Linked DNA regions of Arabidopsis thaliana. The protein of the gene in region 2 interacts with the protein of the main gene of each other region in a pairwise test. Each region holds a gene or a part of one and is shown on either strand. Other genes may lie near its edges. The genes, in order: AT4G33905 and ABC4.

Region 1 (15,218 bases), on a different chromosome or scaffold from region 2:
TAATGTAAAATAAATTTAGATTTTTCGATGAAACCGGAATCTCGCGTGAACCAAGTAGTTGTCTTCTTTTAAAAAACAAAGTGATTTTTTGTGATCTTACCGTTCTAAGTGGCTATGAAAAACAAACATCTAACATTTAATAAATACCGTTTAGACACTTAAATCTATTGAAATTTTACTCTGTAAGACGTACAAACTAATTTCTCTGTTTAGCCTATCAACACGAAGCAATTATTTGATTTATCTTAATTAAATTTGATTCGGCTGACGATTGGTAGGTGAAGAGAATGTTTTTATTCGTTACTCTATATAATAATTTGAAATTATAAGACCACCTAATAATATATACTTCTAACTCTTCTCTTCTTTATATATGGTTTCTTGATTTGATGATATAAGCATACGATTATTTCAGAATCTTTTAGTTTCATTTTTAAACTGTTTGTTACGGTTTGCGTCCGCCTCGTGCATTCGTCTTTTTCCATTTGATTGACTTCGACGTTTGGTGCATTGATTGATGTATGACAAAAAAAAAATATGACAACAATAGTCTATAGGCAACAAGTAACACTAATATTATTGAACGGATAAAAAACATGAATATATACATTATGATAAATTTTGATCAAATCATATATTGGGCAGAGGAATATATGATTGTTTTGGCTACCGGAGTAGATCTCAAATCGAAACTTAGATTAATTTCCAACAGAAATTAACCACAATAAAATTGATCCATGAAATTGATCCAAACGACGAGTCTTCAACAGAAAACATAATTTTGTGATTCGAACCCATGACCTTCAAGACAAATCCACATATACATTACCAATTGATTCAATTGTTTTATTGTTATATATGCAGATTTTAAATACCTAAATATGTGTTACTATTAGGAAGATGACTTTCTACAATTTAGTTCAACAAAAAATGAGCCAATAAAGAAAATCCTACATTTTGTATCACAACTTCTTCTTTCTTCTTTTTAAAGAAACCGACATTAGTTTGTTTTAATTAACCCATCAAACATATATTTAAAAATATGTCAGTTCTTAAGAAATATTGTCTATTGATATTAAGAGCTAATATAACTTTTACTAATTTGAGATAATTTTTCATAGTAATTGTGATATTTTCTCTTTCTATTAAAATATTAGCTCATTGTAATTCCAGTTACTTCTAGATATCTTTAAAATATGCCTCTTTTGGATCTTGACAGCATTTTTTGGATTAACTTCTGAAAATCAAATACATAAAAACATGCATATACCAAAAAGAAATATGGTTCAATTTGGATATTCTTCACCAACTAATTCTATATACTTTTGACATTTCGTTTTGTAACCAGTTAGATTACAATTGACTTTGGTTTTTTTTTATCACCTATTAAATTATAATTGACTTTCGTTCAATGTATTTTAAATATTTTTATTGTCTTAATTTTTGATGTTAACAGCTAAGGCATAAATAAGATTTACAAATCGAATTATCAAATTCAACCAAAATAAAATAAAATAAAACAAATTACAAAATGGAGAACGGGAAAAGTCATTTTCCTAGTATTTGGGGAATTAATTAAACAAAACTATGCACCACATACACAAATTTCATACATATATCTATATGCAAAACTTTATATAAATTCACAACAGTCATAGTCTATTGTATGATTATTATTTTTATTATTTGACACCGAAGCTGATATTTGTGACTGTTCCTTGTTCATTATATATTCATCTGTCGTTTTCTTAACTTCTACTTCTAATACTTTGACAGTTTTTTTTTTTACAAATTTAAAAGATTTGAAATCGCTTAGAACCAATCATAGTAAATATGACAACTTTACTGAAATCTTCCCCAAATCATATTGTTTGTTTGTATTTTCTAAATATTAAAATAAAAAGCGAATATTGTGATTATTCCTAGTTTCATATCACTATTCAGAGCATTTTCGTGTTGTAACATTTTTAAATTTTGAGTTTGCTAGAAATTTTAGATGTATTAGATTTTTTTTTAAGAAAAAAAAATCAACGTCATTAATGTACTAAAATCAACTTTTCAGATTTATAGGTTATTTGAGAAAAATTATTCAGTTAAACTTAAAGTTTCCGCTACTTTAATCCATATAAAATGGGCCTGTAATATTCATCTGACTGAAATCTTCTTGCGGAAAAAAAAAAGAAGTCTTAAATCTTCTTTATGTCCATTTAAAGTGGGCCTGTAATATTCGGCCCACCATGTAATGAAAATGCGTTTCGTTTTGTTCCGCTCGGACCTATATAAACCAACTATGAGGGCCGTCGCATACGAAAATTGGGGTTTTCAATTTTATTTCGAGTGTTCGCTGTTGGTCCTCGTCTTCTAGCTTCGAGCTCTGAGAAATCGAAAATCATGGGTCACTCCAACGTCTGGAATTCTCATCCTAAAAAAATACGGACCTGGATCTTGCACCTGGTAATGTGCATGCAATAACCTCTGTTACTTATTGTGATCTGCCATATAGAATAAGTAGGAGCATGTTTTTTATAGTCATGGACTCATGGTTTGTGATGATTTTGAGGAATCTAATGGTAAGTTTGAAATCCATGGATTTTTGTAGCCGTGTGTGTGGAAACTCCCATGGATTAATCAGGAAGTATAGTCTTAATTGCTGTAGACAGTGCTTCCGTAGCAACGCCAAGGAAATCGGATTCATTAAGGTAAACATGTTGAATGATTGTCTTTTGTATCTCCATGAGAATGGTCCATGATGTTTTCTCACTCTCTTGGAAAGATGATTAACTCTTCTGGTTTTGTTTTCCTTTGTTTGCAGTACCGTTAAAGACCAATGGTGTTATGAGGAGCAATCATGTGAAACTTTCAAGCTTTAAAATTGTAATGGATTTATTTCGATAAGGCTTTTGAGCTGTTGAATCTTTTAGCTTTTTGTTTTAAACTCAATCTTGGTTCTCTACAAATGATTATCATATAGATTTGAGTTTCTACTATTTGAGATTTGTGTTGCTATTATCTATTACTCTGTTGATAGTTGCTTAAGAACCATATAACAACTGTTAAATCCTTCCACTAAGGGACCAAGTACTTTGGAATGGTGGTTTATTATAGATGACACTAGTGGCAATGTGAATCAAACAAAGATATAAGTATAGCTGTTCACAGTTAACGATGTACTTAACGATTTATCCACTTAACAAGACAAGTGACAAACAAATTAAAAGAGAGATCAATGAAGCAAAATTATCCAACGAATACAAAAGTTTAGTTTGAACCAGCAAAGTTATTGAGAAATCAGAAAACACTTCACTTAAGTTTACGCACGTGTGAGTTTGTCCAAAGTCCAACATGTTCTTTTACTTCTTAGTTTCTCTCACGTACGACGAAGACTTTCTCGTGGAAACACGGAGAACCAAAAAACAGAAGAGAAGCGATATGAAACGAAGAAACAAACAAGATCATCGTCCCTTTTGCCTTTAGGGCACAAAGGGGAAGCCTTTTTCACTGGGTATGTTTCTTCTCTAATGATCCATCTTCTTCTTCCCTCTTTCGATTCTCAATCTCACGAAATTACCTGTGACGCTTCGATCTCTTTCAATTTCTTCTTCGATTTCTCTATTCCTAGTTTATAATTGATTGCAATTTCGAAATCGTCCCAATTTTGATTATCGGAATCTGATTTTTCAGGTATGTGTTGAGAATTTGGGGTTTTTAGGTTTTTGGCTCAGAAGAGAGAATCTGGGATCTTAAAAATCGAAACTTTCTAGATGTGGTTTTAGTTCAACTTAGTTGTAGAAGATGGGATCAAATCAAGGTTCTTCCAGGTTAGATACGTTAGAGATTAAAGCTCTCATTTACCGGGAAATTGGGAATCAAAGAGCTGAGAGTTACTTCAATCAGCTCGGAAGATTCTTTGCCTTGAAGATCACCAAATCTGAATTCGACAAGTTGTGCATCAAGACCATTGGTAGACAAAACATCCATCTTCATAACCGTCTTATACGTTCCATCATCAAGAATGCTTGTATTGCCAAATCTCCACCATTTATAAAGAAAGGTGGGAGCTTTGTTAGATTTGGTAATGGGGATTCGAAGAAGAACAGTCAAATTCAGCCGCTTCATGGAGATTCTGCGTTTTCTCCTTCGACTCGTAAATGCAGGTCAAGGAAGTTGAGAGACAGGCCAAGTCCACTTGGTCCACTTGGGAAGCCTCATAGTTTAACTACGACGAATGAGGAGTCAATGTCAAAGGCACAAAGTGCTACTGAATTGTTGTCTCTAGGAAGTAGACCTCCCGTGGAAGTTGTGTCTGTGGAGGAAGGAGAAGAAGTTGAACAAATAGCAGGAGGAAGTCCAAGTGTTCAGAGCCGGTGTCCTCTCACTGCTCCGCTTGGTGTTTCTATGAGTCTTAGGAATGGAGCTACTAGAAAGTCTGTTTCCAATGTGTCTATGTGTAGCAGAAGTTTCAACCGCGAGACTTGTCAGAACAACGGTGAGCTACCTGATACAAGAACGCTGAGGAGTCGGTTGGAGAGGAGATTGGAGATGGAGGGGCTAAAGATAACTATGGACTCTGTTAGTCTTCTTAATAGCGGATTGGATGTGTTTATGAGAAGGCTGATTGAGCCTTGTTTGAGTTTGGCTAATACTCGATGTGGGACTGATCGGGTTAGAGAGATGAATTACCAGTATACACAGCAAAGCAGAAGGCTTTCATATGTATCGATGTCAGATTTTCGTGCTGGTATGGAGTTGAATACTGAGATACTTGGAGAAGATTGGCCTATGCATATGGAGAAGATCTGCTCCCGTGCTTCAGATAAGTAAAGAACAAACATCATAGGTTAGATACATAGCATTTGAGTTTTCTGGTTTGGTTTGCGCTGTTGAAAAAAGTTACTGGGATGGTCCAAGTTTCAATGGAAGAAGGTTTTGAAGAGAAGAAGGGTGGGTCTTCTTGATGTTGTACAAGTTCAGATAATAGAGTGAGATTTAAGTAAGAGTTTTTTTTGAAGTAAACGACATTTTGTTTAGCTGATTTGTTTTTCTCTCATGTGTATTTTTCCTTGTTTGCTCTCTGATGTAAACAAAGTTAATAATGAAAGCAAAAAAGGCTTCTTGAAAAGATTCGTGTGAATATTTCATTTGTCTGGTCAAAGTCACTAAATATTACATTGGAATGTTAAAACCCAAACTGAAGTAAAAAGCTTAAAACAAAAAGCGCAAGACATAATCATACTATGAGACATGTCCAAATGCCTCGAAGACAAACGATCAACTTATTTAAAAAAATGCATGGGTGATTGATTCAATTCACCAAACTGTTGCAGTAAGAGCATTCACTAATAAATCCACATGACGGTTTGGTCCACTGGATATAAACACATTGTCAAACCACTCAAGCGTTCCCCAAATTTCTCCATTTTGGCGTTTTTGAATCGCAATTTCCGCACACCAAATCTTTGTTTCGTCATCAACTAACACATACTCCTCCCAAGAAATCGCCAATTTTCCACAATGATCCGCCGATTTAAAATTTCTATAATAATTAGTAAAAGTAGGCAGTCCTTCCAAACCCTTCAAAGCTGCCCATTCTCTTTTCTTGAGGTCATACCAACGTACATCCCCAAGACTGCAACGGTAGAACACGTTCTCTATCACACAACAAGATGATGGATCCAGACTCCATCCATGATTCAGGCATATGTCTGCCCCTCTCCATTTACCTTTATGCATCTTGTAAGTGACATCTTTTTCCCTAGACCCTACATAGACGGTTCTTTGATAACTTATGCTTAAGTACTCAGAGCCTTTGCATACCTCCTCGCTAGGGATCTGTAAAAACTCCCAAGTTTGAGTCTTCGTATCAAAAATCTCCATCCAATTCATTGAATTGAGATTTTCGCAGCCTCCCGTAACATATATTCTCCCATCGAGGGTACAAGCAGATGGAAACACACGGGCCACCCGCATGCTTGGAGCTTCACGCCATGTGTGAGAACGAGAGTCCATAACCATAACGCTAGACAAAGCGTTATAAGTCTTTGATCCAGTTGCATTTATCGAAGCGTTTTTATTCTCTGATCCACCGCCAATGGCATATATCTCATGACCGACCACTACAAAACCCGGCAGGGCTGCGGAAGTAAAATTGGGAGATGAAATCGGGACCAAAACTTTTTTGGAGCTATTTGGTCCCTGGTAGATAATGAACCAATGTAGTTGTTCAGAATCGGTATGGAGTCGTACGCACACGTAAAGACAACTCTCCGTTCCGCCTAAGAGGATTCGGGTTTGGTAAAGCTCCTTTGAAGCAAGAAGAAAGCGAAATTTTTTGGAGACTAATGAGAGAGTTGGATAATGTAATCTTGAGACGCGAGCTAAGCAGTTAAATACCAAATCATCAGGAAGCATTAGAAATCTTTTAATCGAGGGTTCTTCTCCATATTCCATGGTTGTTGATCACTTTTTTTCTCTTACGGTTGTTGATAGAGAGCGGAAGCTAAATATCGGACGAGAACACAAGATCTCTAGGAGAACTCGGATTTACAAACGGATCTTGCTTAGAACGTCAAAACTTGATGAAGAAGCAATAGAGATAAAGTCGAGATCGGTAGTGATATCGACTTGGTTTTGCAAGCCCTTAGGGTTGAGAGTCCTCCTCTCTAGGCTTTATAGAAAGCTCTCTTAAAACTCTTTATTCAATAATCCAAAACTAATCTATTCTACAACGTAAGGATTCTTTAAATAAGAATCAGAAACAAAGACCCTAATTCTAAAAAGAAGTTAAAAGCCAAACACGTAAAGCCCACATCTTTAATAAAGTCCATAAACTACTAAATCATGAATGAGAAACAATAAAGAGGCTTGGTCACGACGAGGCCCATCAAAGGCGTGAACAAAGCAAAGATGCGCTGCATCAGTTGCTTATTAAGTAAGAACTTGCTTTTTTTAACAAAACAAAAAAAAGTAAGAAATTGTTTTTTGCATAAGCTTCTTTTTGTCTCGACTATTCTTGTCTATATTGTTTATATATAGATTCCTAATCTCATTGGGAGTTTTTCAACGTGTTTGGAAGTATAGTAAGTTTCTAATTTTCTATAACAAAACGTATATTCTCTTCACTTGAAGAATTTACTGATATTCAAAAAAAGAACTAGAAGAATTTACTTTTTTTTTTTATCATTCCTTTTTACTAAATTGTTTTGTTTTGTTCTTTGTGTGCTCTTTCTTCTGGTACAGATATATATGCGGACCTACGTACAAGAAAGGACCCTAAATTTCTAAAATTTTACTTACTGTTATGAGAAAACAATACATTTGGCATATCAATTTTTTTTGTTACAAGCTGTCGCACTGCTACCTGCTACCCTACCAATCTGGGACGCGTATAAGATTGAGAACAAAAACCATATTTTAGCATACATAGCATTTGGTTTGACTCCGTTGGTCTCGTGTAAATTTTCCGTCTTTGTTAACCGTACTGATGTAACTAAGGATTAATATAAAAGACTTGTGTCAACAGTTTCCTTTGCCTGGTAAAGACTCAAAAAGTTGATCGAAGCTAAAGAACCACCATTTTACTCAAATATTACATGGAATACTAAACATAGAATTGAATTAAATCTAAGAGTGTAAGACATGTCCAAATGCACAGTTTTCCCCAAAACTCCTTACATTATATCCTCCTAAAATCTGGAGAGAGGAAACAAAGAATGTTGAAGAATGCCCTGTTTCTTTTAGTAAAAGTGTTTTTTGGCTTCATTTCTTCATTTCTAAACTGAGAGAGTTTCCCAGAGAGCTTTTTCAAATTTCAATGGCGGTTGGCGTCGCACGGCTTGCCATATAAGTTATGTAGATTGTCCATAGATACGAAAACGAGTTGCTCACAAGTGGCTGCAGACAAAAAGAAACCAGACTTCAGTTGATAACCAAAACTCACGATAAGACAAAATGAATGCAGCAAATATATGATCTGTCTTGAACAAAAGGTTAACCAAAGTGAAGCTAAGTTGGAAATAAAGTGGTAGGTATCAATCATACATACCTGTAAATAAACAGGGCAGAACTTGAAAGTAATAAAATCACACAAAGGCCAATACATGACACCATTAAGCATTGTGGGAAGTAGGTCCCTTTTCAATCTAGCAACTATCTCTGAACCATTTTCACCTGAAAAAATAATTGAAAATCAGACTTTGATGTCATCAAGAATAGCTTAGGATCAAATTCTAACAACAATTCTCCTCTCTTCAAACGCCATTTAGAGAAAGAATGTAACATCAAACAACCTGCTCTATAACAACCCTTAAGATTGAAGGTCAACAGGATCTAGAGTTTCAGAAAAATCATACTTTTATATGTTGCTCAAAGAAGAATATATAGACTATAAGAAAGGAACCAGTTGATTATTTTTCATGTACAGCTGAAAGCTTACCCTGTAGGGCTGCATTCAGTGAGAAGAAAACAACATTCATGGCAGGCCCATAGACTGTCTGTCCCATGGCCATTTTCTTAAACGTTGTGATCAAATCTCGTTTTGGGAAGAGACTTGACATGAGATTGAACCAATAGTGAAGTGTAGGACCCAAGATTAATAACCCATATCCTCCCATCCTTGCTGTTCTTACCAAGTCATAAGAATCCACTGAAGCTTGTGGAATTGTCTGTTGAAAGATCAAACAAGTCACACTTTTGTCAACAACAATACAAGAACAAAGAAACGTAAGCAAATATAACAACTCAATTCACATAAAACCCGCTACTACATCCACATTACTAAGAATCGATCATTACTTCTTAATCTAGAAGTAATTCTTGTCCTATCTCAAATCTCTAAAGCACAATGGAGATACAGTGACTTCTACTATTACCATTTGTTAGAAAACACAATGGAATCTTAGGACTGAATCAACAAGAACATAATCACAGAATATCTAAAATCTGATTTGTAGGCTTACAAAACAAAAATGAGATAGATTTTTGAAATTACCTGCGAAGACAAATCGGCTGCTATGTAAATAAGCGAGGACGTGACGGATTTGGTAAGAACCGGCCGAGATTTCACCATTCCCAAATACCATCCGATGAATCCTGCTGTAGAGACCGTCGAAGAAGACGAAGACGAAGACGAACAGAAACCAGAGACACCTGTTTCCTTTGCTTTCCCGAGAAACTGAGGCGTACGATAAAAAGGCCTCGACTGCAATCGCTGGATGTTTCCTCCTATCGGTAAAGGGTCGAGCTTTCCAAAAGGATTCGTCATCGTTGCTCGCTGTAATCGAAAGATCCGAGCGGCGTCGGAAGCAGCGTTTCTAAACAATGCGCCGGTCATTGTCGTGTGATGGCTCCGAGAGTTTTGGGGGTTCAGGGAAGGGTTTTATATATAACGGCGGTGGAGAAGAAGAAACAGAGCTCTGTTTTTTTAAAAAGTTTAAATGCCAATAAATAATGAAACACACAATTTGTATATTTCGCGAGTATAAAGGTTTTTCTACTCGCGTCTCGTACCATTGCAATCGTTCTTCATAAATTAGTTTTGTTCTTAATAAATTAATTAATCATGCCTTTTCTAGATACAGAATTGTCGAGATCTTTCCTAATAACCGAAGTTTTTGTGAAAGCTATAGTGTTACTTAGCACATTGATTATATATAAGCCAACAAATTGATTATTATTTATTATTAGCTAATCACTCAATAAACTCAAAAGCCAAGCCAAATTATTGGAGAAAATAACCTTTCCAATTTCTATGTTAGGCGGAGGAAAGAGTGCCTGAAGGCTGAAGAGCGCGTGACCGTCAAAGGTGGACGGTTCAAAAACCAAACATCCCCAAACTGTTTCTGTTCTGTAGTGTTCTAGGGTTGTTTACACGTCCTGTTCACATTGGTTAGTGTCGACGTCATCACTTCTGACACGTAAAACTTAATTCAGTGACGCTAACCTTTAGTAGAAGCCACGTGTTGCGTTCGTGTCCCAAGTTCCGACTTTTAGCCACTTTTTATGAACTCTTTTATTTTTATATATTTAGTCAAAAAGAACGTAGATCATTGGAAGAGAAGATTCTCTTATTTTCTGTCGGCAATTTTTCGAAGATTCTAAACCAAACTAAACGTAGATGATGTCACACACACAAAAAAAAACAAAAATTATTATCGGTATCACTCATGACTCATGTGTCCACAAAAACTCGAATAAAAAGATGGTCCCTGGTGTGTAAGCTCAGATACATTTTTTATATATATAACATGGACAAAATAATTTTCCATTTAATAGATACAAATACAATCATACAACACATTTTGTTAAGTTATAAGGGAAAAAATTAGTACACATTGCAAATTAACAAGAGACTTGACGGACTCAAACGAGCAGTAAATACTCAATACCAAGTAATCAGAACACCCAAATCGATCCACACTTGTCATCACTTCTGTGTTAATCTTATAAGTTCTTATATTTCTTTTACTGAAATATCAAACAACAAGAAACTTCTATTGTTCAAATGATATTTCGAACCAAGTTTTCATTATCAGGTTTTAATTTTTGTATCATTCGCATTATAAGAAAGCTAAATAGTTACACTGTTTCAGCGAAGAACTGTACACGAGGGATCCAGCAGCAGATTTTTAGTCAAAAGATAGAAGCTGTGAGACTGAGATAGATATATGGAAAAAAACCTAACTTATTCTTCCTGGTCTTGGTCTCTGATCCATTTGGTTGCCACCCATTTCTCTCCTTTGGTCACCGGGCAGCTCCCGTGAAGCGAAGTCTGCAGAAGCATTGGAACCACAGCAAAGAGCTCCTATTAGCATGAACTAATCCAAGGAATAGGAGTCAAGAGAAGAAATGAAATGTGTTCAAACTTTGTTTACCTGATCAATCGTTCCATTTGGAAACACGGAATAAAAAAGAAGACCATCTCCTTTCCGAGGCTTTACTTTCAACCCAATACATTGCTTGTAATCGTATCCGATGCCCATATTAGAACCGTTCTGTTAAATAGAAAGCGTTTAAATGGAATCAAAACTAACGAAAGGGTCTGTATAATAAGTAAGCAAATAATATATTATAAACTGACCTCAAATGGGAACATGGTTTCACCGCCTTCTTCAACATCAGATAAGTACAACAGGAAGGAGGCAATCTGCGTAAATTCAAATGAGGTCTCGGGTTCTAAAGAAAGCTATAAATATGACAGATTTAAGGATTTTACCCTTTGGCTTGATTGTGGTCCATATTCTGTTGGGTTGAAAACATCATAGTGGGAATCATACTTTTGGCCAAGTTCATACCGTAAAATATTGAATGACTGCCAAAAACATCAAATCTCGTACAATTAAAGGGGTGATAAGCACTAAACCAAAGGCCATCAAGCCTACGTTTGCCACTTTCAACATGCCTTAGTTTTACGATTCACATAGATTTGGGAAGTAGAGAATCATACCTCTCCATGGGACCTTGGGATCATCGTAGCTCTTGCGATTTTCCTTTCAACAAAATCCAGAGCACCAGTACTCTCTTCTGAAGCACTGATAAAAGTTCCTGAGCTGTATAACAACAACACACCAGGCAAAAACACTGAGGCTACTGATGAATGTTCGAAACATGAAACTAGAAAGAAAGAAAGACCTTGTTCTAGTGCCCTTAGTGTTCTCAGCAGTTTCTCCTTTCCGGAGAGCCAAAGCAGAAGGTTTCAGATTAACCTTTGCTCTCTCAATAATAGCTTGGCATTGTTCTGCAGTTGCAAAATTCGGAAAATATATAGCCCTAGGTCTCCAACTAAGTACCTGCCAATTTTAAACCAAATAATCCATAAAGATGAAGTACTAAATTTCACTAGTTGACTAATTGCTAAAAAACACAATACTCTCACTCACACTCATGGTCACCACACATGAACAAAAAAACAAAGTTCAATTAGATAATCAAATGCACAATCTTGCCCTAACTAATCGATTTCACCTAATTTGCCAATCCAAACATCTTAAAAGTCAAAAAATTAGCAACAAAATCAGACCTGAAAAGGAATCGATCCAATAGATTCTTCTCCAGTAACACCATGAGGCATCGAGCTAGCTTCTTCTTCCCCATTCTCAACCATATCCAACATTCTCAACCTGGGTTTAACACGAGGCACATTCTGATCCCAAACATAGAACCCTCGATTAGTCACAAAACCAAGCTAAAGACTCCAATCACATCTAAAGAGTACAGAGTAAAAGATCAGAGAGTTTCCACACCTGAGAAAGTAGAGTGGAGCCATAGAAACCGAAGAGGAAACAGAGAGAACAGAAGACGATAACTGTGGCTAACCCTAGCTTCTTCCTCCTGTAGCTCTTCAATCTGCTCTTCATCGAGCCTTCTTCCTTCCGATCAGATTAAGTTTCCGATGGAAATCTTCGCCGGCGTAAACGATCAGATAAGTTTCCGATGAAAATCTTCGCCGGCGTAACGAACCTCAATATCGGGACGCCTTTCGTCGATCCAATGAAGCACCACAAATTTCTATTTACTTTAAAATATATTGTTTTATAGTTTAATGATCAGATCTCGTTGACCAGTTTGTCATTTTCTTCACTGGTCAACAAATACAAAAAAATGCGCCGAATTTATCCTTTTTTTTGGTTGAAGTTTGGTTGCGTAGAGTGGTTTAAGTTTTGGTTCGATGGAACTTGAACGTTTTTGTGATTTGAATTAGGTGGGCTTCTTTTGAGTTGTTTTGCTTCATTCAGGCTGTCGATAATGACTTGGAATCGATCTTAGAATGTAAGGTGGATATGTAGTCCAACATTGAATTGTGTTTATGGTTAAAAAGTAAAGAATGATTATTTATTAATTATATACAGTCAAATTAGAGAGTCTTAAGCCGAGATCAATACATTATCCAACGAAATTTCAAATGAGTTTATTTTCTTAACTAATAGTCTATATTCTTGCAACTTCTTTTTGATAACCAAATAAAATGTGTAACCATTCTACAAATGATTTTCATATAGAGATTTGAGTTTAGAAAAGAATAAGCAAGAAGAAGATTCAAGTAGCCTTTGTGTCGAGAAGAAGGTTCAAGGAGCTCTCTTTGTGGGCTATAGAACTGTTGTTTAAGAAAGAAGGTGACTCATTTAATGTTTGGTTCTTGGGGTTCACAGAGCATTGTTCACTGAAGAGAGATGTGATACTAGAGAGATTCTTAGTGAGCATTGACAGAAATAATAGTAGTACTAATTAAGTTTTTTTTTGTTTGATGAATCTTGTATGCATCGGTATAATATGAGTGGATATGCAAATGTTAAAAAAAATAAAATGAATGGATCTATATATGTTGAAAATCACCCTATGATCCATAACAACGATAAATACGCATCCATAATGTTATAAATGTAAAGGTAAACATCATGATCAAAAAAGTTCGACAACTTGGGCCAATGAATTTCCAGTTGCTTCCGCGTATATATATAAGTCCTTCCACGTCAATTTCTTAATCCCAAAATGCAAACCTTTTTATAACAACCAAATAAAAATGTGCCACTTGTAATTAAATATAAATTACTCCATAAGCAATAATATTCATCGTTTTAATAGTATGCTCTAGAACACAGCACACAAAGATTTGTTTTGACCAGAACATGTTTTTTTTCTTATACCGGAAACGGTAACGTGATAATAAAATTAGGTTAATAATAATATAGATACTAAGATGACTAGATTATTAGCAAGAAATTGTATTCAGTTGTTATCCGTCTTTCTTAGTTGACAAGCAAATATATCAGCTACACGTTGGCTACAGGTTACTCATCCTTACCCATTCATTATTCGCTCATTATAACAATTTCCCACTGATATATTCAAATACAAAATATATAAGACACAAAATAGAATTAATTTATTGCTATTTGCAGACGATGTAAACATTTTTGTAGACATGAACAATTTAATTGATTCTTTACTCATCGTAGACATGAATTTATATTTCAAAAGGGTCTACTATTTCTAAATAATATTCAAACATTGACTCTGTAAATCACATATAAATAAATATATATATTATACACTACATTAATATAATATCTCCTATTTCAAAAAGAAATAAAAGTAGCTGTTGAATTTAGATATTTTTTTGTTGGACCGAATCAGAATTTAAGTTTTTGAATTGTTCCAGAAGAAAGATATTTTAGTATAATATACGGCAATGACGTTTATGTTTGGGCCAAAACTTTGTCTATTTATTGAGAAAAATAAAGCTAAATGGAGAAGAATAACAAAAATAAACAACGCGTTGAAAAAAACTGCAAAAAAAAAGAGAAGGGGGAGGGCGAAATTAAAACAAAACGACGCGTAGTCTACGTAGCCTTCTAAGAAACGGCACAAGTACAAGTCATCTCTATCAATATTCTTCTTCTTCTTCCTCACGCGGTTTTCTTTTACCACCACCAACTCAACACACACACGAATCCCTTAAAACCGATCAGATCAAACAAAAACGAACGAATCAAAATTCAATAAAAAAAAACCTTTCGATTTCTCTCATCCAATCGAATCGAAAATCTTGTTATCTCTTTCTCTCTAACTCTACTGCACTCAGAATCTCTCTGTATAGAAAAACCCTAAGTAGGTTGTGATGTTGCGAGCTTTAGCACGGCCTCTCGAACGGTGTTTGGGAAGCAGAGCTAGTGGTGATGGTTTACTCTGGCAATCGGAATTGAGACCTCACGCTGGCGGTGATTATTCGATCGCGGTGGTTCAAGCCAATTCCAGGCTTGAAGATCAGAGTCAGGTTTTCACATCTTCTTCTGCTACTTACGTCGGTGTATACGATGGTCATGGTGGACCTGAAGCTTCTAGATTCGTTAACAGACATCTCTTTCCTTATATGCACAGTAAGTTATAATCCCACTCTTCCTTCCCTAAACTTGTTTTAGGATTCTTTCTTCTTTTGACTCTTTGACTACGTTTTTGATGGTCAAAACTTATGAGATCTCTATTACCCTGATCATTTCAATATTAAAAGATTCGAATTTTGCTATGAAGTTTTGGTCTTTGTGAACATGTTCAGGTTTGTAAATTGCCTCTTGAATTGATTTTGTAGTCATGTTCTTGTTAGTGAAATTTACAGGATTGGTTTTATGATTGCAGAATTTGCAAGAGAACATGGGGGATTATCTGTAGATGTTATCAAAAAGGCATTCAAAGAAACAGAAGAAGAGTTTTGTGGTATGGTTAAACGA
Region 2 (16,425 bases):
CGCCTTTACACGTTTTACGTTCAAGACAATCTCTTCTCTGGTTCCATTCCTCCTCTCAACCAAGCAACTCTCAGATTCTTTAATGTCTCGAATAATCAACTCTCTGGTCATATCCCACCAACACAAGCTCTGAATCGGTTCAATGAGTCGTCGTTTACTGACAACATTGCTCTCTGCGGTGATCAGATTCAAAACTCATGCAATGACACCACTGGAATCACTTCAACTCCATCAGCAAAACCAGCTATCCCTGTAGCCAAAACACGTAGCAGAACGAAGCTCATCGGAATCATTTCCGGAAGCATTTGTGGCGGAATATTGATACTTCTGCTGACATTTCTTCTCATATGTCTTCTTTGGAGACGGAAGCGAAGCAAATCCAAAAGAGAAGAGAGGAGAAGCAAACGCGTGGCAGAGTCAAAAGAAGCAAAGACGGCTGAAACAGAGGAAGGTACGAGTGACCAGAAAAACAAAAGGTTCTCTTGGGAGAAAGAAAGCGAAGAAGGATCAGTAGGGACTCTGGTTTTCTTGGGAAGAGACATCACGGTGGTGAGATACACCATGGATGATCTACTCAAAGCTTCAGCAGAAACGTTGGGAAGAGGAACGTTAGGGAGCACTTACAAGGCAGTGATGGAGTCTGGATTCATCATCACTGTTAAGAGGCTCAAGGACGCAGGGTTTCCTCGAATGGATGAATTCAAGAGACATATTGAGATCCTTGGCAGACTCAAGCACCCTAATCTGGTGCCACTCAGAGCTTATTTCCAAGCCAAAGAAGAATGCTTGCTCGTCTACGATTACTTCCCCAATGGAAGTCTCTTCTCTCTTATCCATGGTATGTATTGCACACACACTCTTCTCTGATTCAGCACTTGTGTTAATCTGTTTGATATGTGTCTTATTCGTAGGAAGTAAGGTCTCTGGGAGTGGGAAGCCTCTTCACTGGACATCATGTTTGAAAATAGCAGAGGACTTGGCAATGGGTCTGGTCTACATTCATCAGAATCCTGGCTTAACGCATGGGAACTTGAAATCATCTAATGTTTTGTTAGGTCCGGACTTCGAGTCCTGTCTCACGGACTACGGTCTCAGCGATCTCCATGATCCTTACTCGATTGAAGACACAAGTGCAGCTTCTCTCTTTTACAAAGCTCCTGAATGCAGAGACTTACGCAAGGCTTCAACACAACCAGCTGATGTTTATAGCTTTGGAGTCCTCCTTCTAGAGCTTCTAACAGGTAGAACTTCATTCAAGGACCTTGTTCATAAATACGGGTCTGATATCTCCACATGGGTGCGTGCGGTGAGAGAGGAAGAGACTGAAGTAAGTGAGGAGCTGAATGCTTCTGAGGAGAAACTTCAAGCTCTTTTGACCATCGCGACAGCTTGCGTGGCTGTTAAGCCGGAAAACCGTCCTGCGATGAGAGAGGTATTGAAGATGGTGAAAGATGCAAGGGCTGAAGCAGCTCTTTTCTCATTTAACAGCAGTGATCATTCGCCTGGGAGATGGTCGGATACGATTCAGAGCTTGCCAAGGGAGGATCATATGAGCATCTGATTCAAGTTGTTGTAGCTTTCTCTATTGTTTTGGTTTTTGAAGTAGCTAGGGGTTCAAAATATAATATATGCTTCCTAAATTGGATAATACCCATAATTACATGATCACAATGGGTTGCTTAACAAAACTGAGTCTCTTTAAATAAGGAGAGGCTTACATGCCCTCTTTCACAGTTACAAATATATTTTCCTTAGACCGCGACATTCACTATGAGCTCATATTTCACTAGCACTGTCTCTAAAATGATCGTATAAGTTATGACCTAGTTCATATGCACATTATTTCCTCTTAACATCTGGACAAATCTTGTTTCCCCACCAAAACCCTAAACAGCTCCTTGCGTCTAAAGCAAAAGCAGAAATTTCCTTCCTAAATTAGGGCTTCCAATTAAACTATTTGGGGGAAAGATACACTTAACTTGGGCTTTAATCGTAGGGGTAAAGAAATCAATTATTAAAACATATAATAAATAAATCCAGGTTACAAAGAAAAATGGAAAGAACCTTACCATAATTAAAATTTGAGTTAGTAATATCACTTTAATAATAAAAAACTTCATATTCGAAAATGATTTAAACATATCATACATCAATTAACTCGAACTCGAATGCTGTTGACGTTGACAACGTGTAGAGATTTCACAACCACGATTGTAAGAGTATGCTGGAATTTTGACACATTCTTTGGGATTCTTACTGCTGCAACCTGGAATTATGTCTCCTTTCATACCATTATAGTTTATATATGTTTGTCCTTCTCCAAATCCGCTGAACAATGATAATATAATCATTACTGAAACAAAGAAAATGCGGATATGACTCTTTTTGTGTGCAGCCATTGTTTTTTGAGAAAACAAAAACAATGTAATTGAAACTTCTTGATATTTTTCTGTGTTATTATATTTTTGTAGTTTGAATACGTGATTAATTATTAATTTGTGTTTCTTTGATTTATAATGAGAAGGATGATTCTAAAAAAAAGACGGCCAGTGCATAATGTATGTGCTGATAGAGTTTCGTGGCTATTTATATGTCATTTACAGTTTTTTCGGTTAATATGTTCGGTTGGTTTCTAGCATGGCAGCAAATTTATCGGCCACAACAAGACTTTCGTGAATATCTGTGTTGTCGTTAGTGTTTGTTTGTTTCGTTGTTGTAAAAATTGATCTGTTCTGTTGTTTCTTCACTCTGTTCAGTGCTTGATGAATGTGTACGTACGTACATCCATCTACTCTTCAACGTTCACATGTATATTCTAAATTTGAACCGAGCCGAAACCAAGTATATATAAATTTCAATGTTCTTTGTATTAACTTCGATACAAAACCCAAAACTGAACTAAACCGGAACCAAGCCGGTAGAGCTAAACCAATTTAATCTCTTTTCAGGAGAGTTCAGAGATTACTCTTTCACATTTATCTTCCAATATCTTCACTGCTTCGTTGAAAAGAACCTCCGGAGGCTGTGATCCCGTGGACTCAATTGTAACTGCGAAAGATGATAAGAAACTCAATTAGAATCTCTTTCAGTACCATGGAATTGCCAGGTTGAAGGAACTGTGTTTTTCTTTTTCTTTTCTTACATATAAAATGGTTCTTGACACGGCGCAGATCCACTTGGTCCTCCCATTCCACTCCATCTCTTATGCATTCTCTACACAACGAACAATCACGCGGCCGAGCTACTGTTGCCCTCTTCCTACCTGTTTTCCACGTTTGCAAGTCAAATTAATTTGCCGCCAAAGTTCTCAGGTTTCATCAGAATCTCTTATTGTTACTCAAAAGCAAGTAAAGACATTTGAAGGAAACTTGGGAAGGCTTTTACTTCACCTTGGCCCATGTCTTCAATGTCAAAAACTTTCTTGGGGCAGACTTTTACGAGTTCTTCGGCATGTTTACCCTCGAATTCCTTTAGTAGAACCACCTAAGATATTATAAACAAAAAGCATTACCGGAAAAGCCTAGGACGAGTCAAGAAGAAATTAATTAAGTCCTTTTCCCAGAAGGCTTATGGTGAACTTCTCACCTCAGGAAGCATTCGATACCAAGCCGTTGCTACTGGGGACCACTTTGCATGTGTTTTACCAATGCCCTTAACGGCATGAGCCTCAAGCTCGATTTCCTGCAAGAAGAAGATGCAAGTCTTTCATCTCTCAACGGAATTAAGTCCTCAAAAATGTCACAATTAAGGGGAAGAGTATAAATAGAAACAGTACCTGGCCAGGGCCAAGTTTTGCTATCAAGATATCTTTTAAGGTTGGCCTGATAGGATTTTCAGCAAATTCAGGGAAGGAATCTTGGCTATGGTTGAATGAAGTGTAAGTTTTTGGCGTTGTGGTTGAACCTCCAGATTCTTTGATAAGCTCACTTCCATTTGGTAACCATTTCAATTCGCTTGTTAAGACTTCAAGAAATAAAAAAATGATACCTCTCATGAGATCTCGAGCTAACAATAAAACAAAGACTCTTCTTGAGCAAACCAAAGAACATATATTACCTTTACGACGCGGGTCACCTTTTAGACATTTCACATGGAGTTTGAAAACAATGGTGTTCTTTTCATTTGGCTGATCGTTTTCTATGACACAAAGATAAACAACAACAAAACTAAGCGTGACACAAAGAGTTTATATGCTTAATGAGATGGATCACATTCCACAGAATATTTCTTACCAGATAAATATTCAAAGAGTCTCGGATCTGCGGCAATTGGAATAAGACCCAACCTGTGAGCAAGAACTTCGTCTTGAATAACCGATGTGTTGTTTGCTACATACACTTTTTCAATAGCCATTGAAGGAAGCTGTAATCAAAGAAACACTATTAACCAAAGATTCTAATAATCAGAGATTCATCAGAGGTAGTGAGACAGTGGGCAGACCTCAGCTAAGAGGATTCTTCGGAAAGCATTAGCGATTCCTGCATGGACACCGATCATATCGAATACCATATCTGTCTCTGTGAGACTAATCACATCAACTTTGAAATCCTCAGAGAAGTTTTCTAGTCTCACACTGTTGTCCACTCCCATAGAGGAATAGGCACCCGAGAAAGTGATAGCCGTAGGCTACAATAAAACACAAAAAGAAAGGGAAGAACATTAAAGACTTCAAATTTCAAACAATCATCACTCAATATCATTCGGATTTCGACAAACCCACAGTGTAATCTTCTTAAATTGCTAAGACCAAACTCAGTAAATTCACAGCTTTCTACAAGCAAGTTTTAAACTTTACTCTGTAAATCTACACGAAATCGATGAACATAGCAAACCCACATGGGACACACTGAGAAAAGCCAATAAATTTCTAGTTAGCTGAACTTATACATAGCTTAAAAAGAGTGTAAATTTTGATCGAGAATAGTACTTACATGAATATTAGAATCCTTCTTACAGACAACGCGAGTTCGCTGGAGCTCAAGATGCGGAGGAAGTCCGGTAGGAACGTCAGGGAGATCAAATATGTTGAAGTTCTTCGCTTCTCTCTTTTCTTCATCAGTCACAATCCTTGTTACTTCGTTAGTCCCCATCCTTCTCTGCAGCCAAGTTCGATTGTGAGAATCCGAAATCAGGGTTTAAGGAGAAGAGGAAGATGAAAATTGCACGATTTCACTTTTCACTTCAATTTCGTTCTTCAATTTCATAAAACTGGAAAATTAGGGTTTATGGACACGTGTGAATACTAGAAAAAAAAACATCCATTTTTCTAATAGCGGCATGGCTTAAGTCCGAACCGAAGCGGCTGAACCGTCCAACCGGAGTTTGGTTGATTTCTGACTTTTAAAATTTTCGTTACCACCAAACCGAAATTCTAATCTTAAGTCCGAACCAAATCGACATTTTTTTATTTTTTAATTAACCACATATTAGTTAAAAGATAATTATATGATTGGTCGCCGAATATGGAAAAAAAATCTACAAAACAAATTTGAGAAAACAGTAAACGAAAAGAACGAACTAAACAATCTGTCTTATAATTAAACAAATGAGATATATAGAAAATCATGAAACGAGAAATATAACATTCGACATTTTGTTTGATTTTCTACTATATAACTTTTCCAAATATAAGTAGAAATGTCGATTTCTAAACAAACCCGATCTGAATAATCATATTCTCCAAATTTAGTTATGGCAGTTCAAACCCATAATGGTGAAGGTTCTCACTCCAGTATTTTTTTTATTATAGCATACCAAGATAACCAGAAGAATGAGCCAAGAAACTAAACAAAACTAAAACCAAAACTAGTTCCAATCAACTCAAACACGAAAGTAGATAAATAACAAACCACATGTGATTTCAAATTTAGTTTAGTCTAATAAAAAACAAAAAGACTAAACCGGACGACCATACATTGGGTCCCTATCGTAAATTAGCAAACAAATTAGTGTTGCCCATTTTAAAAGTTTGAACTCTTCTTTATTTAAAAAAAGAAGAAGAAGAATTGAACTGGTCAGGAAGAAAAAAATAGAAAAGGAGAAAAAGGACAGAGGGAAAATGGAGAAAAGTAGAGTAAAATGGCGTCACACCAGAGAGAAGGCACAACTCACGGGGAAATCAGCAGAACCAATACCACCGCCACCGGTTACTATTACTATTCTTGTTATCATCATCTCCCAAAAAAAAAATGTTAGTATTATTTTCGAGTCTATTTTTCAAGTTTTTGTTTTGTTTTTAATATCTCGACTTTGCCACCCAACTCCTCCCACTCCTTCACAACTGTGTCCTGTCCTCTGCTGATTTCTCACCTTTCCATCATTCATTTCATTCTTTCTTTTTTCCCATCCGTTTCTTTTATTCTTCTTTCTCCTTAAATTTAAAATCTTTGAATTAAATTATTGGATTTTATTGTTTCAAAGCGTTTCTATCATCAAAACCCATCTTCTTCTTCTTAAGATTCTGAATCATTCATTGATTGATTTAGCTTCTCTTCGACTTCTTAATTTTACAGTTTTTTTTGTTTTTTAAACTTTAATTGATGCAAATAAGCAAACTTGGATCGCTGTGAGCCTGTGATAATGATTTCTTTTAGGTTTGTAGGATCTGAAGGAAGCTACGGTTTATTTTTTTTTATGGGCAATCTCTAACAGGTACAAATCTTCTCTTAGCTTCTCTCTTACAAGATCTTTAGGTTATGTCTTGTTCTTTGGAGTTGCTATCTTTCTTCCATGTTCCAGAGGTTTGCCTTATTTTATCACTTTTGACATAATAATTTATTTTGCCTGTTTTTTGTTACTTGGTTTAATATTCAGATGAATCTTTGACCATGATCTCTAAATTTGGTTCCTAGGCAAGATCAAAGAAAGTTCATCACATAGGAGTTGATCATGAACCATAGTTTCCTCAAAGATCTCAACTTTGTCTCTAGTTGGATTGTAATCTGTATTGCTTAGGACAGTTAAATCTTATTACATCTTGGCTCGTCATGTCAAAAGCTGAAGATATTTGAGCTTTCATATCTTACAACTAATTAGTTTCGTATGTCTACAGGTTTCTTACTGTAATTTTTCTGTTTCAGTTCTTTACGGGTATATATATACACATAAAACGGTTAAGCTCTAGAGAAGATGTTGGGAGGCAACAATGATAACCCTGTGCCGCAGGTTCTAATGAACGACAGCCAGTTTCGGTATCAATCAAACACATCGTTGAATCAGCTTCACTTGCTTGGGACGAGTAAGTTTCTGAATTTTGTTATTCATTTGGTTTGAATGTTGTTAGAACTTTATAGAGCTAAAAGCTTGTTCCTTTGTATGTGGTTGCAGTGAGAGCTGGTTGTACTATTGATCCTGTAAACTACTTTGCTAATGATAACCTTGCTCCTATGATGCGGCTTAATAGCACACGCGGAAGGGAAACTGAAAACAACAATATTATGCAGAGACAGCAGAAGCTGCAGATCTCTTTGAATTATAACTACAACAACAATAATACTGTTGTTCAAGATGAAGTCCCAAAGCAGAACTTAGTGTCAACTGGTCTGAGACTATCTTATGATGATGATGAGCGCAACTCTTCTGTAACTTCAGCAAATGGAAGCATAACAACTCCAGTCTATCAGTCACTCGGTGACAATATCAGATTGGACCTCAATAGACAGAACGACGAGCTTGATCAGTTTATCAAATTCCGGGTATTAATTTTATCTACAAAGCGTATGTTTTTGCTTACATATCCCATGTCGTTGAAATTGTTCTCTCTTGGAACAGGCAGATCAAATGGCGAAAGGTGTGAGAGATATTAAACAGAGACATGTCACGTCCTTTGTCACGGCCTTAGAGAAGGATGTGAGTAAGAAGCTTCAAGAGAAAGACCATGAGATTGAAAGCATGAACAAGAAGAACCGGGAACTCGTGGATAAGATAAAACAAGTGGCAGTGGAAGCTCAGAACTGGCATTACAAAGCAAAATACAATGAATCTGTGGTTAATGCCTTAAAGGTAAATTTGCAACAAGTGATGTCACATGGAAACGACAACAATGCAGTAGGAGGAGGAGTTGCTGATCATCATCAAATGAAAGAAGGGTTTGGGGATAGTGAGATTGATGACGAAGCAGCTTCTTACAATTACTTGAACATCCCGGGGATGCCAAGTACTGGGATGAGATGTAAGTTGTGTAACGTAAAGAATGTTTCGGTCTTGCTCGTGCCATGTAGGCACTTGAGTTTGTGTAAAGATTGTGATGTGTTTACTGGTGTTTGTCCTGTTTGCCAGTCTTTGAAAACTTCTAGCGTTCAGGTCTTCTTCTTCTGAGTTGTCTTCATACTCTTGAAAAGTAAATGGTGGATGAACATATTTGTATGTGATGGTGGTGATGAATGAAAACTTGGTCGAGTCTTTCTTTGCTTTTGCCATTAAACCTATATAGCATGATTCTGCTATTTCGTAGTTATTAAGCAGCCGTTCTTTGAACACGAGATAATAATTGAGTTCCGTGTCGTGTGCGATATGTCAAGCTGTGGATTACATTGTTAGAAGAAATTATTAAACTTGTTTTGGCTGATTTTTTTCTTCTTAATATTTTTGCTGCAAAACTTGTTTCCCAAGTAAGGTTATTTATGTACTAAAACAATATTTTTTTAATGTAAAGGATTTTGATCAATATTTCCGTTAGAAAAATACTAATAAAGTTGATATTAATATACATCATATTACGTTTGCAAAAATAAAAAAGACGCAGTTAATTTCCCCATCTGAATATTAATTTTTGGCATTAATATTAATTTGGTTTAATTATAAATTATGTCAACATTGTTTAATTTGTAAATCATGCAAATCTAGTTTACTTGTAGTAGTTTGTACCAACCAAACCCTCAAAGGCTCGAAAGTAATGGGCCTTAAAGGCCCACCTTTCTACTTGTATTTAAAATTGGTCAAAGACACGTGAACCTCACGTGATTTTATCTTCCAACGAGGGAGCTTCTGTTATCCACTTCATCATTCACGTCTCTTCCGCAAAACCCAACATTCAAATTCTTGTCTGAATAACGAAATCCCAACATTTGCATTGCATAGATTCCTTCACAAATCCTCTGATTCTGATTCTGGTCACTCAATTTTGCCTGTTTATTGGCATAATTCGGGCACTTTTCTCTCAGTTTTTGTATAAGGTTCAATGAGTTTGTTCTGTACTTCTGTGTGCGTTATCTTCTCCAAATTAAGATTCCAGATTCGTGGGTTCATGAAAATCTCGTTGTAGACGAGCCAAGTTGAAATATTTTTCCTCAAGTGAATTTTGTTATGATCACGTCGTGGTTTTGATCTGACTCCACTTCCGTCGCTAACTCTCTTCGAAAGATTCGTGTTAAAAAAGGTAAAGTTCCAAACTTCATACTTTTTTTACTTCATCTTACTCATTTTCCATTGTCTCTGATTCATGCCAGAACAAAGATTTTAGTTATAGGGTTCCAGAATCTCGGACTTTAACTCGGAAGTAGTGTTCTTCCTCTGTTAACTGAAATTCTTTCTTTTGTTTTATGCAGAAACCTGAAAATGGTGAATTTTGTTTCTCTCTGTGACATAAAGTATGGGTTTGTGCCCAAAAATTCAACTGATTTGTTTGTGAAACGGAAAATTCACAAGGTAGGCTTAGCACTTCATCCAAAGCTTTGTTCTTTGACAATAATCTACTTTGTACTGTCACTAAAATTACTTAGCTTAGCTTCCCAGCAGAGGAGATGTAATCACTAGATTACCGGTGTTTGGTTCGAATGCACGAGAGAATCTGAATGCTAAACCAAGAAGAAACCTTAGAGTTAGGCCAATCTTTTGTAAGAGTTATGGAGATGCAGCAAAGGTTTACCAAGAAGAGGAGATTCCCAGAGCAAAATTGATATGGAGAGCAATCAAACTACCAATGTACTCTGTCGCTTTAGTTCCTCTTACCGTATGTTTCCTCAAGAAACCTTTCTATGTCCTCCATTGCCTTTATCTGCTAGGGAATATTCACTGTTCAAATGTCACACAGGTTGGCGCTTCAGCGGCCTATTTAGAGACGGGTTTGTTCTTAGCTAGACGTTATGTTACTCTATTGCTCTCATCAATTCTTATCATTACTTGGCTCAACCTAAGGTGATTAATTGATTGATTCCTTTTAACATTTTCGTTGACTGTATTTACTCTTTCATGTATTTACTCTTTCCAAACATGGTTTTATGTTTGCAGCAATGATGTTTATGATTTTGATACCGGAGCTGATAAGAACAAAATGGAATCAGTAGTAAATCTGGTTGGAAGGTAAAGTATTATCAAAGGATAGAGTTTGCAACTTTGAAGTTTATGTTTTTGAGTTCCATCCTAATAAACTGTGTTTTACTTGGAAAAGCCGGACAGGAACCTTAGCCGCTGCAATCACATCGCTAGCGCTTGGTGTTTCTGGTCTAGTTTGGACATCGTTAAATGCAAGTAATATCCGTGCAATACTATTGCTAGCCTCAGCAATACTCTGTGGCTACGTATACCAGGTGAACGTTACTTCCTAGATGACAATTTGATACTAATCTAGGAGATTTCTAACTTAGAGTAATACTTTGTGACTAGTGTCCGCCATTTCGGTTAAGTTACCAAGGATTAGGAGAGCCTCTATGCTTTGCAGCATTTGGTCCATTTGCTACTACTGCTTTTTATCTACTTCTTGGTAGCTCAAGGTAATATCAAAATTTTGTTTTAAGCCTAATCCATTCGTGTTTCCATGAGGTGTTAATAATGGAAGCTTGTTAATCGGTTTTGGCAGCGAGATGAGGCATCTTCCGCTAAGCGGTAGGGTCCTTTCATCATCTGTCCTTGTTGGTTTTACTACATCTCTTATCCTTTTCTGCAGCCACTTTCATCAGGTTGGTTAATGAAAAAGTGGTCTAATGAGTCCTGAAATGACAAACACAGTACTGACTACATTTACATTCTATAGGTGGATGGAGATTTAGCTGTGGGGAAATATTCACCTCTGGTACAAATGTGAAAAAAACTCAACAAGGTTTAATATGAATATGGTGATTGTGTTTATGATTAGAGTTTTTTTTTGGTTGACACAGGTTCGGTTAGGGACTGAAAAAGGAGCTTTTGTTGTGAGATGGACTATTCGTTTACTATATTCAATGCTTCTTGTTCTTGGTTTAACCAGGATTTTGCCACTACCTTGCACCGTAAGTTAACAGATTTGAGAACATGACTGAAATATAAGAACATATATTAAAACCTCCTTTTTGTTGTTGGTGTTTCAGTTGATGTGCTTCCTGACATTACCAGTTGGGAATTTGGTTTCAAGCTACGTTGAAAAGCACCACAAGGTAAGATATTTAGAATTGAAATTTGTAATACTCAAAGTTTTGCTAATCTATTCTTTTAATGCAGGATAATGGGAAGATATTCATGGCCAAGTATTACTGTGTGAGACTCCACGCCTTGCTTGGAGCCGCATTGTCGTTGGGGCTAGTTATCGCGCGCTAGAAATCAGTCACCAAACATTTGTTTCTCTCTTTAGCCTTCGTTGTATCTACCTAAACGTTTAGCCACTACAGTATGCTGTAGCTAAAAGGAAACATTCGAACTTACAACAGTTGTGAAAGGTCTCAAATTAATCACAAGCATGGTGAGCGATTGTATCCTCAATTGTTAAAGTGACGGGTGCCACCATGGATATGTTGAAACATGGGCCATGTCGGATTTAGTGCAAGCCCGTTGACGGCGTTTGTGTTAGGTAATTCAGATTTCCAACACACAAGATGGCCCAACAAAGAGGTTATGCTTGTGTTTGTAGGACATAATTGTTTCTCGATATGGACCTTTCTCCAATTCTTGAATCCATCCCAAACCACTGAAGTTGGATCCCATGTGCATTTAAGAAAATCATTAGAAGGTGAGATCCAGATTTATATTAGAGAACACATAAAACCCCAAAATATTATCATTTGAGAAGCCTATTCAGCCTATGTTATTAGGTTTTATAGCAAAATCATTAGCGGGTTTAGATGGGCTGCTCAAATGATAATATATTAGGCTTTATGTGTGCTCTAATAACTTTGATGGTAATGAGTTGACGGTATTGACCAAGTTGAAGATTGTGGACATTGTTGATTGCAATTTGATTCCTCGTGATCTGTTGTTGCTTTATGAATTACCTTCATGGCCGAGAAGCCTAGTTCATTCTAATCTTTTCACATCCTCTAAAGAATCCACAAGCTAGTAATTTTTCTTAAGCTTTTTACATTTTATTAATTTTCTCAACAAATTATTATATATTACTTGGATCTCAATATTACTTATATAGTACTAATATAAAACATTAAAAATCTTAACGAAATGTATATATTGTTGTTTTATATATATATATATGTGTCATCTTCTAATTATTCTAACTAAACATTAAAAAACTAAAGAATATACAAAGAATATCAAAATCGTTCAAAAAACCAAAAGTATCAAAATTGTCAATTTGTACAAGTCTAACACAAAATCGCAAAAGACATATTGGTCAATACAAAATTTGGTAACAAAAATTAACCTCTTAAAGGAGGATCAATCTACAAGAAATCAAAAAGTGTCATTAGAGGAGAATAAATGAATAGAGACAATTGTTCAATAGTTTGCTTTTGAAGGTTGGTAATTCAAAACTAATATAAACTTCTTGTATAGAAGACTAAGTAATTATGTTTTACATGTATATGAGGAAAAGTGAATTATGGTAAGATTCGAAGCATATCAACAATGATGTTATTAACTTTGACTCATTGGAGACTGATATGAAGTTATTGATAACATTTAGTTCATGTGACACGATTTATAACCAATTACAATAGGTAAAGTAAAGTTCTATAGTTTTCTATACAAGCAAGGTAGATTATTTTTGAATAGTTTTAACTTATCAGCCTTCTAAGCAAATTATTCATACAAAAGGTGTTCCTCTATATAGTCTATATATACTTGTTTCAATTTTTAAACTATATTTGTACAGGATTGTTCTACTGCGCCGACTCACCAATTTTTTGCTACATCTAGCAACCAGCAAACCCAATCTATCATTGCTGACACATTTCAAAGCTTACCACCATTCGTTTTTCCTACCTACCGTCACAGTAGGTAAAACATACTTCCATAGTTTTCAATATAAAAATTTAGACTAGCAATAAATTACCAGCCTTCAAAAATAAACTATTTTTGTAAATTTTCAAATTGTTTCTGTTCATATATTTTCCTCTAATGCGATTTTTTGTTTTTGGTTCAGAGTGATATAAACCATATCTATTTGGTAGCTCACTAATCTCTTTTCGGCGTCTTCGGCAAAGGACTTTCAAGATCCTATAAAAATAACATTGTATTGAAAAATGTATCCTCAAAATTTTTTGTGTAGCACCACTAACCTTGTTGGTTTAAGGATATAGTGGAATATTGCTAGTATGACTGAAATAAATATGAGAATATATCTTTGATATCAGATATAAGAAGTAATATTAATATAGTTGAAATCATATATACAATCAAATATAAAATCAATAAAATAGCTAGTATAATTTATGGGTGCCTATACTATAATGGGATGGCATGTTTTATGATTTTTTATCTCCGTCAAATTGGATGTATATGATTAACCTAATCAATTACATGTATCAAAGAAATGTACATGCACATATATTAATACATCCTTCATATATATATTGTATGACACAGTTATTTTTAAATATTAGTCTTAATCATGCTCCAATGTTGAACTTATTAGATCTTTTACCAGGAATTGGACATCAATGATTTGGCTGGATCAGGACATTTATCAAACCAAAATAAACTGATTATACAGAAAGTGAAGATGGAACAAATTAAGGGCATGGACGCATGGTCATTCTCCAACCAACGAATAGACAATGGACTTCACTTCACGTCTCACGGGAAAGTTAGAATAAAAACGAAACACAACAAATAAATAAATAATCACGAGAATGTCTTAGTTAAAAGACGGCATATAGAAATATAAGAACGCAGTGTACTTAATTTTGTAAAACCATACGAGAAAACAAAAGACAATTAAATAAAGTCTCCCAGAAAGTCAGAAAAATAATAGCCACATGAAAAAGAAAAAAATCTGCAGATTATCGTTTCTATGTCTCGTATTCGTATAGTTTTATTACTTTTTTTTGTTGTTAAAGTTATAGTTTTATTACTTTATAATTTGATGTTTTAAAATGAATGATAATAAATAAATAAAAAGACTCCAACTATTAATTAAGTTTGTAAATTTTAATATCCAAACTATTATAATACCTAAACAAAAAACTGTTATAAATTAAGTTATAATACATTATTTTTATCACAAACTATACATCTTTTTGAAAGTTGTGAAATAAAGATTCTGTTAAAAAATACATAGAAAACTATTAATTAATTTAGAGCAAAACAATAAACGGTGAAGTGATGATTGTTTTTTTTTTTTCTTTTTGGTATAAACGATAATAAAGTATACACCGTGTATATCAACAAATGTGCACACATGCAGTTACGTGTAGTTTATCATATACGCATAGATAGAATATATTACTATAAATGTTGGAATTTATATGAAAACCTCGAAGACAGGTAACACATATTGGCATATATAACAGATTACTTCTTTTGGCGTATCAAGAAAGAGGTACGGTCCACATATATTTTTCACATGATCAAGAAGATTGCCCAATACCACAAAGAGTCGAGCTCTGAAGTCAAAGGAGGGCTTGTAATAATATTGTATTCCTTTATATATTATCCAATTATTATCTTTTTTATCAACTTTCAATGAAACCACCAATTAGGAGTGTGGAACGAAAATTCAATTAATTCCACACAAAAAATGAAGATAACCAATCAATATAATCTAGCTATGAAAGAAAACACAAACGCTATTGATAGAAACGATCATCACTAATTAAATATAGCTCACAGTAAAATCCGTGTCTCATATCTACATCTAGCTAAAAACAATCTACTTGGAATTTCATTGAATTTTGAACATATGCATTGTGGTGGTGGAAATACTTCTCTGTTTCAAGAAAAGCCAGTGCTACGTACTAAATGGTTGCACGACAAAACTAACCTATATATTTATTAAAAATATAGCTAACCAATAAATTTATCAAACATATGCAGATTGTGGTGGTATTATTGAAGAAAAAAACAGGGATAGTAAATGGTTTTATGACAAAAACTCCCGATTCTTCAAGATCCTTCAAGAATAAATGAAATGAAAAGGGTTATTGTTTCTTATACTTAATTACTAATACGTCTCGTGTAGCAATGAACAGTGACATTTTATGAATTTAATGAGAAAGGAACATTTTATGACAAGAACATTAGAAAGTTATGAAAGCATCTTGATTTGTGTACATATACAGACACACACAAATTTGTCATAATGCCCATGGGATCTCTCCCCTCACTCATATTCACACACATGGACTAAAGTTCAATTTTTTATATTCTTCTTAATTATTAGTATAGTGTTTAATCATATGATATAACTGGTGATCGTTTCTATCAATAGCGTTTGTGTCGTCTTTTGTCACCAGAAACGTTTCTGTATCATATTTAATGTGCTTCCATACATTTATTTAAATTTATGGTTACATCTAAATTTATTATAGAATGTATACTCTAAAATGTTATCAGTATAATAGAATTTCTTTTACAATTTGCAACATTGAATCATAAATTACTTTTCTATTTGGTTGGAATGCAAGGGAGGAAATTTTCTAGTCCCACAAATAAAAGTATAATTTTTTGAAAACATTATTCTGTATAATAGAGATGTGAGAAATTACTTTCATCTCTTTCCATATCATGATTCGCCAGTCATAATCTTTATCATATAATTATCAACTTCTGGATATATGATCTTATATTTTGAAGAGCTAATTAACTACAAAATTATAATACAGATTCTCACAAATTAAATATAGAACAAACTACTAAGCCAACCTTTTTCTTTAATAAGTATACGGGTATAAATAGCTAAATTTTTTTTTTTATCTCTTTTGCATATATAATAGATATATTATTTGATTTATACTCTCTTTTTGTCAAATATCAACCAAATATTTTTTGATTATGTGTGTGTTGATGGTAATTTTCAGTTATCATATATTCATCAATCATGAAGTGACATGTGGATTTCAAACTCGCAACCAACCTTGCGAAAAGCAATCTCCCGCCCATCTCAATATATACTGAGACGGTGAGACATATAGCAAAACCAAACAAAAATTAAACTCTCTTAGTCAAAGAAAAAAATGAAAACTTTGGGCCTTTTTTCTTAAGATTTTTCAAAACTAATATTGGACCATTGGCATTTGCCTACCATGCCTAGGAGCAGAAACGAGCGAACTCCGTAATCACTAGACA

Evidence for each region.
Region 1: the proteins of ABC4 (region 2) and AT4G33905 interact in a two-hybrid assay, tested with the Arabidopsis thaliana proteins (one large-scale study listed by BioGRID).

What each region holds. Positions count from the first base shown.
Region 1 is NC_003075.7:16,246,265-16,261,482, forward strand, and holds AT4G33905 (Peroxisomal membrane 22 kDa (Mpv17/PMP22) family protein), read right to left. Parts: upstream 9,497-15,218; 5' UTR 9,329-9,496; coding exon 8,987-9,328; intron 8,661-8,986; coding exon 8,432-8,660; intron 8,167-8,431; coding exon 8,042-8,166; intron 7,891-8,041; coding exon 7,801-7,890; 3' UTR 7,488-7,800; downstream 1-7,487. Other genes in the region: AT4G33885 (uncharacterized protein), read left to right, coding at 2,392-2,454, 2,600-2,641; AT4G33890 (transcriptional regulator of RNA polII, SAGA, subunit), read left to right, coding at 3,793-4,821; AT4G33900 (Galactose oxidase/kelch repeat superfamily protein), read right to left, coding at 5,308-6,447; AT4G33910 (2-oxoglutarate (2OG) and Fe(II)-dependent oxygenase superfamily protein), read right to left, coding at 10,679-10,765, 10,869-10,988, 11,075-11,140, 11,210-11,305, 11,441-11,543, 11,626-11,783, 12,014-12,136, 12,237-12,350; AT4G33920 (Protein phosphatase 2C family protein), read left to right, coding at 14,612-14,870, 15,127-15,218.
Region 2 is NC_003070.9:22,319,890-22,336,314, reverse strand, and holds ABC4 (UbiA prenyltransferase family protein), read left to right. Parts: upstream 1-8,955; 5' UTR 8,956-9,376; intron 9,377-9,545; 5' UTR 9,546-9,555; coding exon 9,556-9,645; intron 9,646-9,724; coding exon 9,725-9,949; intron 9,950-10,030; coding exon 10,031-10,134; intron 10,135-10,227; coding exon 10,228-10,299; intron 10,300-10,387; coding exon 10,388-10,526; intron 10,527-10,602; coding exon 10,603-10,709; intron 10,710-10,795; coding exon 10,796-10,895; intron 10,896-10,969; coding exon 10,970-11,008; intron 11,009-11,093; coding exon 11,094-11,204; intron 11,205-11,282; coding exon 11,283-11,348; intron 11,349-11,412; coding exon 11,413-11,508; 3' UTR 11,509-11,878; downstream 11,879-16,425. Other genes in the region: AT1G60630 (Leucine-rich repeat protein kinase family protein), read left to right, coding at 1-838, 912-1,561; RALFL6 (RALF-like 6), read right to left, coding at 2,154-2,399; RPAC43 (RNA polymerase I subunit 43), read right to left, coding at 2,945-3,048, 3,143-3,262, 3,390-3,483, 3,586-3,681, 3,776-3,963, 4,057-4,137, 4,233-4,362, 4,441-4,626 and 1 more; AT1G60610 (SBP (S-ribonuclease binding protein) family protein), read left to right, coding at 7,129-7,237, 7,327-7,694, 7,771-8,316. UniProt on the Arabidopsis thaliana protein: Involved in the synthesis of phylloquinone (vitamin K1). Catalyzes the transfer of a prenyl chain to 2-carboxy-1,4-naphthoquinone.